3 linked regions of the Struthio camelus genome follow. The protein of the gene in region 2 interacts with the protein of the main gene of each other region in a biochemical or structural test. Links are inferred from orthologs where the notes say so. Each region holds a gene or a part of one and is shown on either strand. Other genes may lie near its edges.

What was found.
Region 1: the proteins of PARD3 (region 2) and JAM2 form a complex in vitro, tested with the Homo sapiens proteins (2 studies listed by BioGRID and IntAct, with this or other methods). The link is inferred for Struthio camelus from reciprocal best matches to the Homo sapiens genes PARD3 and JAM2.
Region 3: the proteins of PARD3 (region 2) and JAM3 form a complex in vitro, tested with the Homo sapiens proteins (2 studies listed by BioGRID and IntAct, with this or other methods). The link is inferred for Struthio camelus from reciprocal best matches to the Homo sapiens genes PARD3 and JAM3.

The regions. Positions count from the first base shown.
Region 1 is NC_090942.1:117,216,474-117,220,218, forward strand, and holds the start of JAM2 (junctional adhesion molecule B), read left to right. Parts: upstream 1-1,268; 5' UTR 1,269-1,379; coding exon 1,380-1,446; intron 1,447-2,420; exon of another isoform or gene 2,421-2,624; coding exon of another isoform or gene 2,625-2,652; intron 2,653-3,745. UniProt on the Homo sapiens protein: Junctional adhesion protein that mediates heterotypic cell-cell interactions with its cognate receptor JAM3 to regulate different cellular processes. Plays a role in homing and mobilization of hematopoietic stem and progenitor cells within the bone marrow.
Region 2 is NC_090943.1:15,894,484-15,898,228, forward strand, and holds the start of PARD3 (partitioning defective 3 homolog), read left to right. Parts: upstream 1-896; 5' UTR 897-975; coding exon 976-1,095; intron 1,096-3,745. UniProt on the Homo sapiens protein: Adapter protein involved in asymmetrical cell division and cell polarization processes. Seems to play a central role in the formation of epithelial tight junctions. Targets the phosphatase PTEN to cell junctions.
Region 3 is NC_090963.1:5,624,917-5,628,661, reverse strand, and holds the start of JAM3 (junctional adhesion molecule C), read left to right. Parts: upstream 1-1,250; 5' UTR 1,251-1,350; coding exon 1,351-1,396; intron 1,397-3,745. UniProt on the Homo sapiens protein: Junctional adhesion protein that mediates heterotypic cell-cell interactions with its cognate receptor JAM2 to regulate different cellular processes. Plays a role in homing and mobilization of hematopoietic stem and progenitor cells within the bone marrow.

The DNA of each region.
Region 1 (3,745 bases), on a different chromosome or scaffold from region 2:
CTTTGGTACAAATAGCGATTGCGATCTCCTCCTTTAAGAAGTTTAAGCTTTTTGTAATCAAAGCTAAAGCTTATTCTTGTGCAAAAAAAAAAAAAAAAAAAAATCTCCTCGAGCTTATGTAGATGTCCCATTAAAAAAAAAAATCAGAATGAAGAACGGCATACAATAAAAACTTGGGAGCGTTTCAGGGCGTTTTATTGGTCCCAGGGGCAGACGGACGAGCCGGATGGTGCCAGCAGCTGAAGCCAAGGTTGCCGCTCGCTGCCGCAGCTCCCTTTCTTTCCCTGCCTCACGCTTCAAGGGGGGAGCGGACGGCGAGTTAACCCCAAACTCCGCAGCCGGCGGTAGAGCCGCCGCTGCTCTCGGAGCCGCCCTGGCGAGACAAAGCGTGCGAGGAAACTCATCTCCTGGCTCTGACAAAGTTTGCCGCCGCACAAGTGCCCTGCGGCTCCGCAGAAGCGGCGCGGGCAGAGGACAGAGAGAGGCTCAGCCAGCAGGAGGAGAAGGGGCGCGGGGGCTCCTTCGCACCCCGCCGCCGGCCCGCAGGTGCGGACCCCTCCGCCCTGCCGCCCCGCAGGCTGCCAGCCCCGCTGACCAGGCGACCGTTAACGGCGGCGCCGAGGGCGCGGCGCGGCACGCCGCCAACGGCCCAGGGCGAGCGCGGAGTCGCCGCCGCCGCCGCCGCCGCCCGAGGGGGGCAGGGGCGAGGCGGGGCCGCCGCGGGCCCCCGGGCCGCCCCCACCGGGCCGGGTCCGGCCTCGCCCCGCCGCTCCCGGCGTCTCCCCGCGTTTATTTAGCCGCTGCCGCCTCAGGAAAGCAGCTGTTGCCGGGAAGATGGCGAGCCGCAGCCTCCGCCTGCTCCTTCTCAGTTACTTGGGGGTCCTCTGCTGTAAGTTGCCCGCGTCGCTGCCCCGGGGACTGCACAGACGAATCTTTTGTATATCCGTATGCATGTGCGTGTGTATTTCTGCTCTGTCGGAGTGCTTTGGCCCCTCCGCTCTGTACCGCGCAAGGACGGCAGCTGCGTGGCCCCGGGCCGCGAGGCGGAGACGGTCCCCAGAGGAGGGGGCGGCCGGGCGGCCCGCAGCAGCGAGGCCCGGGGGCGGCCGGGCGGCCCCCTCTCCCGGCCCCGGGCGGTAGGGGGCGCCGCGCTGCCCCGCCGCGAGCCTCCGGGCAGGGCGCGGCGGCGGCGAGATGTTGTCTTCCCTCCATCCTCCCGGGGGCCAAAGGCAACCCGCGCCTCCGGCAGCGGAGTAGAAGCACGCGCTCCCCTCGGGGCGGCCCGCGCTGGCTGTTCCCATGTGTCTTTTGTTTTCCGCACGGATGTAACCTGCTCAAGCGCGGCCTGCTTCAGGGCAAGCTCGTGGCTTTCCGCGGTGATGGGAACTTTGGGGATGCGCCTTGCGTTTCGTCGCGGATTTCACAACGGAAAGAAGCAAGTGACAGGCGCGTGTTTTCTGTTGCCCGCGTTGGACAGTGCAGCTCTAGGACAGACTCATGTTTCTAGTATTTTTATAATCTTGTTGTCTCACTCTTTTTAAAAAAAAAAAGCAAACAAACAGGAGGAAAAAATAAAAAAGGAGATGTTAAAATAAATTGGCACAAGCTGGCCTCTCAGAAAGCACATGAAAATAAGGAGGGGAAAAATACCATGGAGTCACATAGCTGTGAAGAAGCAGTGAATTAACGTACAGTGTTACTGATGGCAGTGGTGTGTTAGGACCGTCACTTGCCAATCATGCTTTCCTGTGCTCCTGTTGTTGTATATTGGATGCTTCTCATGTCTTGCTGGTATTTTAGGAAAGACGCTGTATGTGGAAATGATCCTTTAGCAAGACTGTACTACATAGTTCATTTTAATGAGCAGTGACTAATTGGGACCAGACTGGGAAGGGTTCCTTCTATTTATTGGGGGTGTGGGAAGGTCCTGATGCTGGGTACTTTTACAGTTTAATTTTTATTCCTCCTCACCGAGCAGAAACTTATGTGTGTGGAAACACCTTGGCTGCAGAGAAGGAATGAGTCCTGAGAGGAGAGACTGGAAGTGACATATCTATTCCGTTAGTTCTGTGGTTTGGTTTTTCTCTATTTTTTTCTCTTCACCTCTCTGAGGAAGTGTTGGTTTGTTAGATGGGTGACCAGTGTAGACTTTTTCTGCTTCATAGCAGAAATCAAAAGAAGTGATGTTCTTTTGATCTCTTTGTTTATTTGTTGTTAATTGTGTGGGTACATCTGACTAGATTAAGGCTGCTGTGCTTTTGGTGACAGATTTCACTGTGTTCAGGCTGCTCAGCTATCTGGTCAGGTGTGTCTATTGACAATGCTGACTTCTTTTGACCAGTGTGGAGATGATAGAGGGTGGTCTGGAAGCAACGCAGTGGATCAAAGTGGTTCCTAAATTGTTAGCAGTCTCCCATTTTTTCCTCTTCCTGTCCCTAATCCCAAGAAACACTAGATGGGGACAACTCGATTTACTAGCAAGGTGCTGCTGAAATTGCAGTGTGAAGATAAGGACTGTAGGTGGGTGTGCAGATGCTGATTGTTTACGTGAGTCAGAGAAAATCCACGTAGAGAGGGCGTTGAGGAGTCCGCTGCTGCTCCTGCGATATATTCACAGCAAGAATATGATTAATATTGGCATCCAAGTTGCAGGTATGGGCTGAGGAATCTCTTATACGCGACTGAGGTCCAACAGGCTCTTTGTGGAAGCAGTGGGAATGGGCAAAAACTAATGAGGAACTGGAAGAAGTGGTTGATACCTGAAGAACATGAGCATTAGATTGTGGAGTAAGTGTAGAGAACTGCTGCATATTTTAGCTGGAAAAAATCTTGTAAATTGGTTTTAGTAAGTCAGCATCGTCAAGAGTAGTGAGGAGGTAAACAAGATTTGGATTGCTTTTCAGTGACCACCTGTTAAGTGAGATATTAATGATCCATAGAAATAGTGGGGTTTTGTTTGTTTGTGTGTTTATTGGTGATTTTTTTTCCTTCTGGGTTAAGGCTTCTCTTTCACCTTAAACTTAGAGGGAAGTAAAGAGATTTTGTGAGATCTTCAGTCATCTAGTCACAGTCTGTTTGGGCTTCTTAAACTAATGCTGCCTATGAAGGTTTTAAACAATCCTACAGAGTAAGACTCACAAGCTCTATTTTTAAGACAGTTAGAAAATCCACAGAAAATATTCTTGCTAATAGTAGTAGTAAATACTTGTGGAGAAATTGCACATAATGATGAACTGACTCTTTTGAGAAGCTTCTAGGTGTGATTTCTGCCCCCCCCCCCCCCAACCTTACTTTAGTGTAAATTAGAACTGGAATGATTACATTTAAGCTGGTGATGCTGGAAGCAAATTTGGTCAAATGCCTCTGTGTGAGGACAATGCAGAGTCAATAAATAGTAGTGTTAGGTAAGCCTCATTTGATGGAACTCACTGGGGTAGTTTGATTCAGGGAAAAAAAAAGGCTTTTTTTTTTTCTTTTAGTTTAGTTGGTTTAAACAACTCTTCCGAAGTGCTCAGGAACGTTCTGGCCAAATACAGAGTTCTAGGCCAAATAAGTTCTGTTTTGTCTGTTCCCTCCCACTCCCCCCATCTTGTAAAAGCATGACTCGCATGTGTGACCTAGGTTTGATTGCCTTGTCTGTAGGAATTGACAGTGGGGGTGGGAGATCCTTTAAGTTATGCTTTCTCCATTATATATGGTGTACAAATGATGTAGCCAGAACTGAGAATGTTATCAACTTCAAATC
Region 2 (3,745 bases):
AGCAAGCTGTGCCTGCTCTTCCTCTGTGCAGACAAACCGGGGGTGAGGGCCAAGGATTTTGCACGGTTCCTTGTGCGAGTTCGGCATCAGGAACCGGCCCATCCACAGCCAAGGGACTGGGCAAAGCAAAGGAAGAGGCCTTGGTGTGACATGCTCCCCCCCACAATGATGGCCTTGGCCCGTGTACCTGCCTACACTGAAGCAGCTACGTGACCCGAGAGTCTTATTTCACTGACCAGCCTTGCGCTGACCACCCACGGGATGGGGGAAACGCTGCCTGGGTCCTGCTCCCGCTGCCTGCCACTGCGGTGCTCCAAGCCCCAACAGCCGCCCCCCTGCTCCCAACAGCACCCGCTGCCCGACCTCCCCAGCAGGCACCAACACCGCCGGCCACAACCTCCCCCAGGCCACCAAACCCCTGTGACCACCCACCGTGGACTCGGGACATCAAACTCCTCCCCATCACCGAACTCCCCTGACCACCAAACCCGCAGACTATTATACTCCCGCTGGCCACCAACTTCCCCCGGGCCACGAACTCCCACCGGCCACCAACTCCCACCGGCCACCAACCTTCCCGGCCCGGGGCCCGCCGCCTGCCCCCGCCCCGTTGCAGTGCTCCGCGCCTCCGGAGCGGGGAGGCCGCTCCGCCGCCCCGCCCGCCGCCGCTGCGCGCCGGGGCAGGCGCCGAGCAGGTGGCCGCAGGCAGCGGGCATCGCCGCGGCATGTGAGCGGCGCGGCCTGCCGCCTGGCCGCGCTCCCGCCGAGGAAGCAGCCACCCGCCGCCCCTGCCCTGCCCTCCCCTCGCCGGGCGCCCAGGCAGGCGCGTCCGCGGCGGCGGCGGCGGCGGCGGCCGGGGGCTGAGCGCCGCGCCCCGCCGGGGGGCGGCCGTGGCGGAGGGCGGAGAGGAGGAGGAGGAGGAGGAGGAAGGCTGCACGGGGCCGGAGGGACCCGGGAGCCCCCCGGCCGCGCAGGATGAAAGTCACCGTGTGCTTCGGGCGGACGCGGGTGGTCGTGCCCTGCGGGGACGGGAACATGAAAGTTTTCAACCTCATCCAGCAAGCGGTGACCCGGTACAAGAAGGCGATCGCCAAGGTGAGGGGCGCGGGAGCGGCGCCCGCGATCAATATGGCGCTTCCCGGAGCGGAGCGGAGCCGAGCGGGGCGGGAGGAGGCGAGGGCAGAGGTCCGCGCTGCCCCGGCTGCGCCGGCGCCGGGGTTGGGGTCGGGGCAGGGGCTGGGGTCGGGGCGGCCGGCGCCGGCCCCCGGGAGGGCGCGTGTGCCCGGCGCCGCCGCGGGGAGCCGCAGGGGCGGGAGGCGCCGCGGGGCGGCGGGCGGCGAGCGCGGCCCCGGCGCGGCTGCCCGCGGCCGCGGGGCCCTGGCGGGCCGCGGGGCCCTTTGTTCGCGGCGGCGGCGGCGGCGGGCCGCGGCTGTGCCCCGCGGCCGCGGGCCGGGCGGGGGCTGCCGCCGAGGGCTGGAAATCCAGCCCCAGGCTTCCCGGCCGCGCCAGGCCCGGGCGGGACGGGACGGGACGGGACGGGGGAGGGCGGCTGCCGCCGGCTTTCGACGAGCGGTGCCGGGAGCCGCCGCAGGGTCGCGGGGCCCCGCGGCGGCGGAGCGGGGCGCGCCCGGCCGCGCAGGCTCCGCGTCGCGCCGAGAGGGGAGCGGAGCGGAGCGGCGGGCAGGCCCGGCCCGGGGCGCCCCGCCGGAGCGGGACCGGGCGCCTGCCCCGGCCCGCGGCAGCGCGGATCCCCGTGGCCGCCCGTGTCGGCCTCGGCCAGCCCCATGTTGAAATGTCTGTGGGTGTGCAGGCTTCCCTTCCCTCGGCGGTTTGGTGGGGCTGCTGCTGCTCTCTCTCTCTCTCTTTTTTTTTTTTTATTACTTTCCAGTTGTTGCTGCAAACTTCTTTCCCATCAACCTGCTTATTAGGACAATATGGAAGTTGTTCAGTGAAGTTTTAATCGGTGTCCCTTCCCCTGTTTTCTCTCCCTAATTCATTCAGAGAGTTGAGTTTTTTTGTGGGTTTTATCTTTTTTTTTTTCTTTCTAACTTTCTTTACACTTTTTAACGTGGAAGATTTGATTTGGCAAATACTGACTTCAAGACTCACTGAGATTGTACCTTATAGCTGAAAGAATATTGTGATTAGTATTGGCTGGCTTGAAAAGACTTGCAATAAAACTTTTACTATTATTTTCCTCTGAAAGAACCTCTGGTTTCTGTGAGGAGAAAGGTAACTAGAATTCCCACCCCCCTCTTTACTTTACTCCTGAATAATGTGATTTTGCAGAAGAAAAAAAGAATTCTCAATATATTTTTATTACTCCTGTTGTAGCACAGTTGTGTACTGGCTGGAGAAAGAGTAAAATGATTTACTAAGATATGGCCATGTGTGCATTTACTTATTTATACAGTGCAGTTAACGTGCATGGCAGCAATCTGCATGCAAGTATGAGACAGTGGCCGGAAGTATCTTTTGGGTTAAGGGCTTCAGTAAATTGTAACAGCTTGGGAGAGTGCTAAATGCTTAGCTGCACCTTCGGATGAAAAGTGTTTGCAGGACTAGTTCTTCAGTGTTACAACACTGATAAAACTAATTATACTATGTCTTGAGTTCCAAAAGTGTGACCCACGAGGGATAACCATGTGGCACTGGATTGCACTCATGTTTCCAGCAGTTAAATTGTGTTAAATGATGGCAGTAATATTGTTAAGAATGGAAGTGATTGCAGTGGTGAACACAAGAGCAACATATTTTAGTCACCGGAAAAATGTTATGTGGTTGCAAGCGGTACGGGTGTGTTCAGCAGCGAGGTGGTCCACCTGTGGAAAGAAACAAAAAATCAAGATGCAACTCTTCTTGTGACATGCTGAAGTATTTACTGCAAAGACTATTTGTAGGGTTGCATTCTGACTTTGACCTTCCCCTAGTCCCCAAAGTTCTTGTTCGTGGGTTTTAAATGACACAGTTGTTTTATTTACTATTATTTATATGGTGGTTGTGCTATATGCCACTGGTATGGACGCGAGGTAGCTGTAATTACTGAGATTGTTTCTATTATATGGAAACGCTGTGGCTGAAAACAGTAGCAGAGTCCACAGGCATTTCTTTGGGTATATTACGCAGTCACTGTCAAACCTTACTTCTAACTTAAATTCACTGGAAGTTTCCCATGGAGATGTGTTGGTAGTCAGGAGCTGAATCCTCAGTGTCTCACAAGTAAATGTATAGTGATGTTTCCTTTGCTCATTGTAGATTAACATGGTAAGTTTATGGTTTTAATGATAGAATTTCATAGCTATTATTATCTTTTTATCATAGTTTGATGGTTTCTTTCTACATTAATGCAGCAACTGAGCAAATCTTCGCTTCAGAAAGAGATGGAGAGGAGACAAAGTAATTCGTATACTGAAAGAGTAAAGGCACACATGCATGTAGGGTCTGGCAGCTGTTATCAAGCTGACATTGAAATCTACTTAACTTCAACTATAATGTTACGGAAAAAAACATATCTGGTGGAAGACTATTCAGAATACTTTAATTAAGTTGATGGTTTTCATACTTGCAAAAAGAGCATTGTTTCTCGCTCTGCAAAAATGAGTGTGTTTACTTTATGTGCTGACAGCAATTCCTTCAGCAGGACTACCTGAAGCATATTGGAAGGACTGACAATTCCCTTCTTAGATTGCTTCTTGCTTTGTCATGATTTTCAGTTTATGATTAGCAATAAGGGAGCTGCATGGAG
Region 3 (3,745 bases), on a different chromosome or scaffold from region 2:
AATGGACTATGTTCGAATGACTCCTTACTCAACAGGGCCCCAGCCCTAAGATTGGTGGAGTAGGGTTTTCAGCCATATAGTCTTAATTTCTTCCCCTTCATCACTAGTGAAATGTCCCATTTGGCTGTTAGAACTGATGAGAATCTCTGTATTAATTTCACCAGGTGAGGATCAGCCTTGTAAGTCTACTCATTAGCATCCTGAGTTAGACCTGCTACATTATCAAGTAAAATTCATCTTTGCATCCCTTAATTCCTACCAACTCTGCAGAGCTGGTTTAGAGAAGAGAGGAGAGCTTGGCTTTCATTCCAGCTGGTTGATCTTCAGCATGATCTTAATTATCTCTCTGTCACAGAATACTGAGCGTTAGTGATGCATGAACCAAAATTAACCAAGACTGATTTGCTGAATTCAGAGCGAGTGTCCAGGGCTGATATACATGTATATATTTTTCCTTCTCGTGAATCAAAGAAAAAGATTCTAGGGTCCTTTTGAGGACCACACAGCAACTCAGGATGTTCTTTGGGCAAAGTCACTTTTCAGGGCAGAATCGCTCTCATTTAAGCTCTGTCATATCTGTGATCCCAACTCGCTGTTTGCTGATTTCAAAGCAGAGTTCCTTGCTTGCTCTAAACTGGTCAAAAGTTTACAATGAAATGTGAGACAGCTTGCTGATAGGAACTTCTCACGAAGAAATGATTGTTTAGGGGGTCTCATTAAATACAGAGAGGGGAAAAAAACCTCTCCAAAGTGAAACCTTAATTTATTTTGATAATCAAAAGCTCAAATATTGCCTCCAAGCTTATTTGCAGCTCTTGGTGGCTCAAAAACATTTTCCACGGTGTTTTTTCCCCTGTTGAACAGAGACGGGAAAACTCCTCGTTCGCTTCACTCCTCACCAAAAAACAAACCAATCAACCAACAAAAGTCCCAACACGCTCAAAACTCCCCCCCCCCCCCCACACACACTTAAAGCCTTTACAGCTCCTCGTCCTGGGTTGAGTTTTCTTACTGAAGCGGTGCTTAGCAAACGGTTCCCATAGACTGCTTTGAACGAGCACCTCTCCCCGCTGGCGGAGCGGTGGTTTACGCGAAGCGGCTAGAGGGACCCGCACACCCACCGCGCACCGGGTATCGCAGCCGCAGCTCCGGCCGGCGGGGCCGTGCCCCCCTCTCCCCCCCTCCTTCCCGCAGACGGGGGGCAGGCGGCGGCAGGCGCCGGCCCGGGCGCCTCCCCGCCCGGTGTCCGCAGCGACGGCAGCGCGGCATCCCCCGCCCCCGGGCCGCCGCCGCCGCCGCCGCCGCCCGGGCAGTGCGCAGGCTCGGCGGGCCGGCTCCGCACACCCCATCATGGCGCTGCGGCGGCCGGCGCTGCTCCTGCTCCTGCCCCTGCTCGGTGAGTCGCGGCCGGGCCCCGCGGGACGGGAAGGGAAGGGAAACGGCAGCGGCAGCGGGGCTCCCTCCTCCCGCGCCCGCCGGCGCGGATCTGTTGCCGGCGCGGAGCGGCATCCGCCGCGGCTCCGCGACGGGCCGGGGGGATGCGCTGCCCCGGTCCCGGCTCTGCACCGGGGCGGGAGGGGGGAGGCACTGTCCCCATCCCGGCCCCGGCCCCGCACCGGCAAGAGGATGCGCTGCCCCGGTCCCGGTCCCGGCTGCGCACTGGGGTAGGGGAAGGGGGAGATGCACCGTCCCGGTCCCGTACCGGGCCGAGGGGCATGCGCTGCCCCGGTCCCGGTCCCAGGCCCACACCGGGCCAGGGGGGACTGCGCTGCCCCGGTCCCGGTCCCGCATCGGGCCAGGGGGGACTGCGCTGCCCCAATCCTGGTCCAGGTCCCGCATCAGGCCAGGGGAATGATGTGCTGCCCCGGTCCCGGTCCCAGCCCCACACCGGGCTAGGGGGGACTGAGCTGTCCCAGTCCCGGTTCCGGGCCCGCACCAGGCCAGGGGAGGGATGTGCTGCCCCGGTCCCGGTCCTGGCCCCGCACCGGGCCAGGGGAGGGATGCGCTGCCCCGGTCCCGGTCCCAGCCCCACACCAGGCCAGGGGGGACTGCGCTGTCCCAGTCGCGGGTCCCGCACTGGGTTCAGGGCATGTGGAGACAGGCTGCGCAGCACTGTGCCGGAGGATGGGACAGAGGTCCAGGGGCAGCCCTGGCGCCCAGGGGAAGGACTCGCCCACCAGGAGCGTGGCATTATGTGGGGGGGAACCAGAGATGGGAAAAATCAGTGACAAAACCTCAGTTCAGCAAGGAGCAGGTCGAGGGATGAGGGTGCCAGGAATGTGCAGCCTCGGCAGGCAGGCAGGGCGGACACTAGTGCCTATTCAAGCCCAGGCACAGGCGCCTATTGTTCTGGGGGGCCCGCATGAATGTTTGCAGTTTTAATTGCAAAAACATTTGCTAATTCCGCTCAGGAATGAATTTGGGCTCATTTGTTGTCTGGCTATTAATAGTGTGGGGATGAGGAGGGGGACAGCAGCCGGTGGGTTTGCATTGCTCTCCCCCCTCTTGGGCAAACAGCAGAGGGAGAAAAAGGGATGGAGTAGGGTTAGGGTGACACCAGCAACTAATTTGGAAAGTTCGGCTACTAAAATACATGGGGATGTGTGCGCGTCTGTATATTTATATATATATATGCACACATGTATGTAAATAACTGTTTTGGGTTAACTCAAGTTGGAAGTTTATTGAAATATTTCTAACAGGTTATCTAAGGACAAAACAAAACAATTCTCTGACTCCAAATGACTTGCAGAGCCTTTTGGGCTTTCAGTAAAGTGGGATTTGGGCACTATTTACAAAAAAATGAGCTGAAGGATGAGAAAATGACTTGGAAACTTGGATGGAGCACCCTCCTAGGAGAAGGAGATGGTTCCACCGTGTGCTCCACAGTCTGTTTGCTTGTGTTAGTGTGTAGCAGAATGGTTTCAGGAGGAGAAACTGGGAGTGCTCGATTTTGGAGTATCACATAGTCTTCAAGGTGCTAACTCTGGTTTCAGATGCTTGCTCTGAATGAGGAATACAGCAGACTTAACACAGCTCTTCCTTACAGCTGGATTGCAAGGGAGAAAAGTACCCCATTTCCTTTCCCTCTTATGTGAGTGTTGCCTAAATGCACTGTTGAATCTGGCCTAAAAGACAGCAAGACTGGAAAGGAACTACAGATACTTCTGCATTTGTTTAGATAGATGAACGTTCTTGCTAAACACAGCCAAAGGAACTAGTTTCACACCTCTGACCAGAGTACATTTATCTGGTGAGTAAACCAAGGGCTAACAGGATTTGTTCCCCCTTTAAATACAAAGGATTCTAGTCAAATCAAGAGTGCCTCATCCTGCAAAGATTTCTGGCTGTTCTCAAATTTGGGGTCATAAGCCCAGAAGAGTGGCCAGAAGTGGGGCTGAGACTAGAAAAGTTTGGGAGCTGCTCGGCTATGCTTGACTTTATGTACTGGGAGGCATTCCATTAAGAAGAGGCTGTCAGCAGTACGTAAAATCAAGCATGTACTTAAGTCTGCGGGGTTGATGCTGGACAGTCCCAGAGAAGGAATAAGACCATAAAGATGTGTTTGATGCCAACTGACTGTTTTTAAAAAGGCACAACAGGAAGTTTACAAAGCCATCGAGATGCTGTGGCTCCAAGCTGCAAAACTCTGACCTGTACGCTTTGGAAACTCAGGGTGCTTAGGGAAACTCTAAGAAAGACTATAAGCCCTGCAGAGCAGGGGTTGCTTCCTTCTTTGATGTTA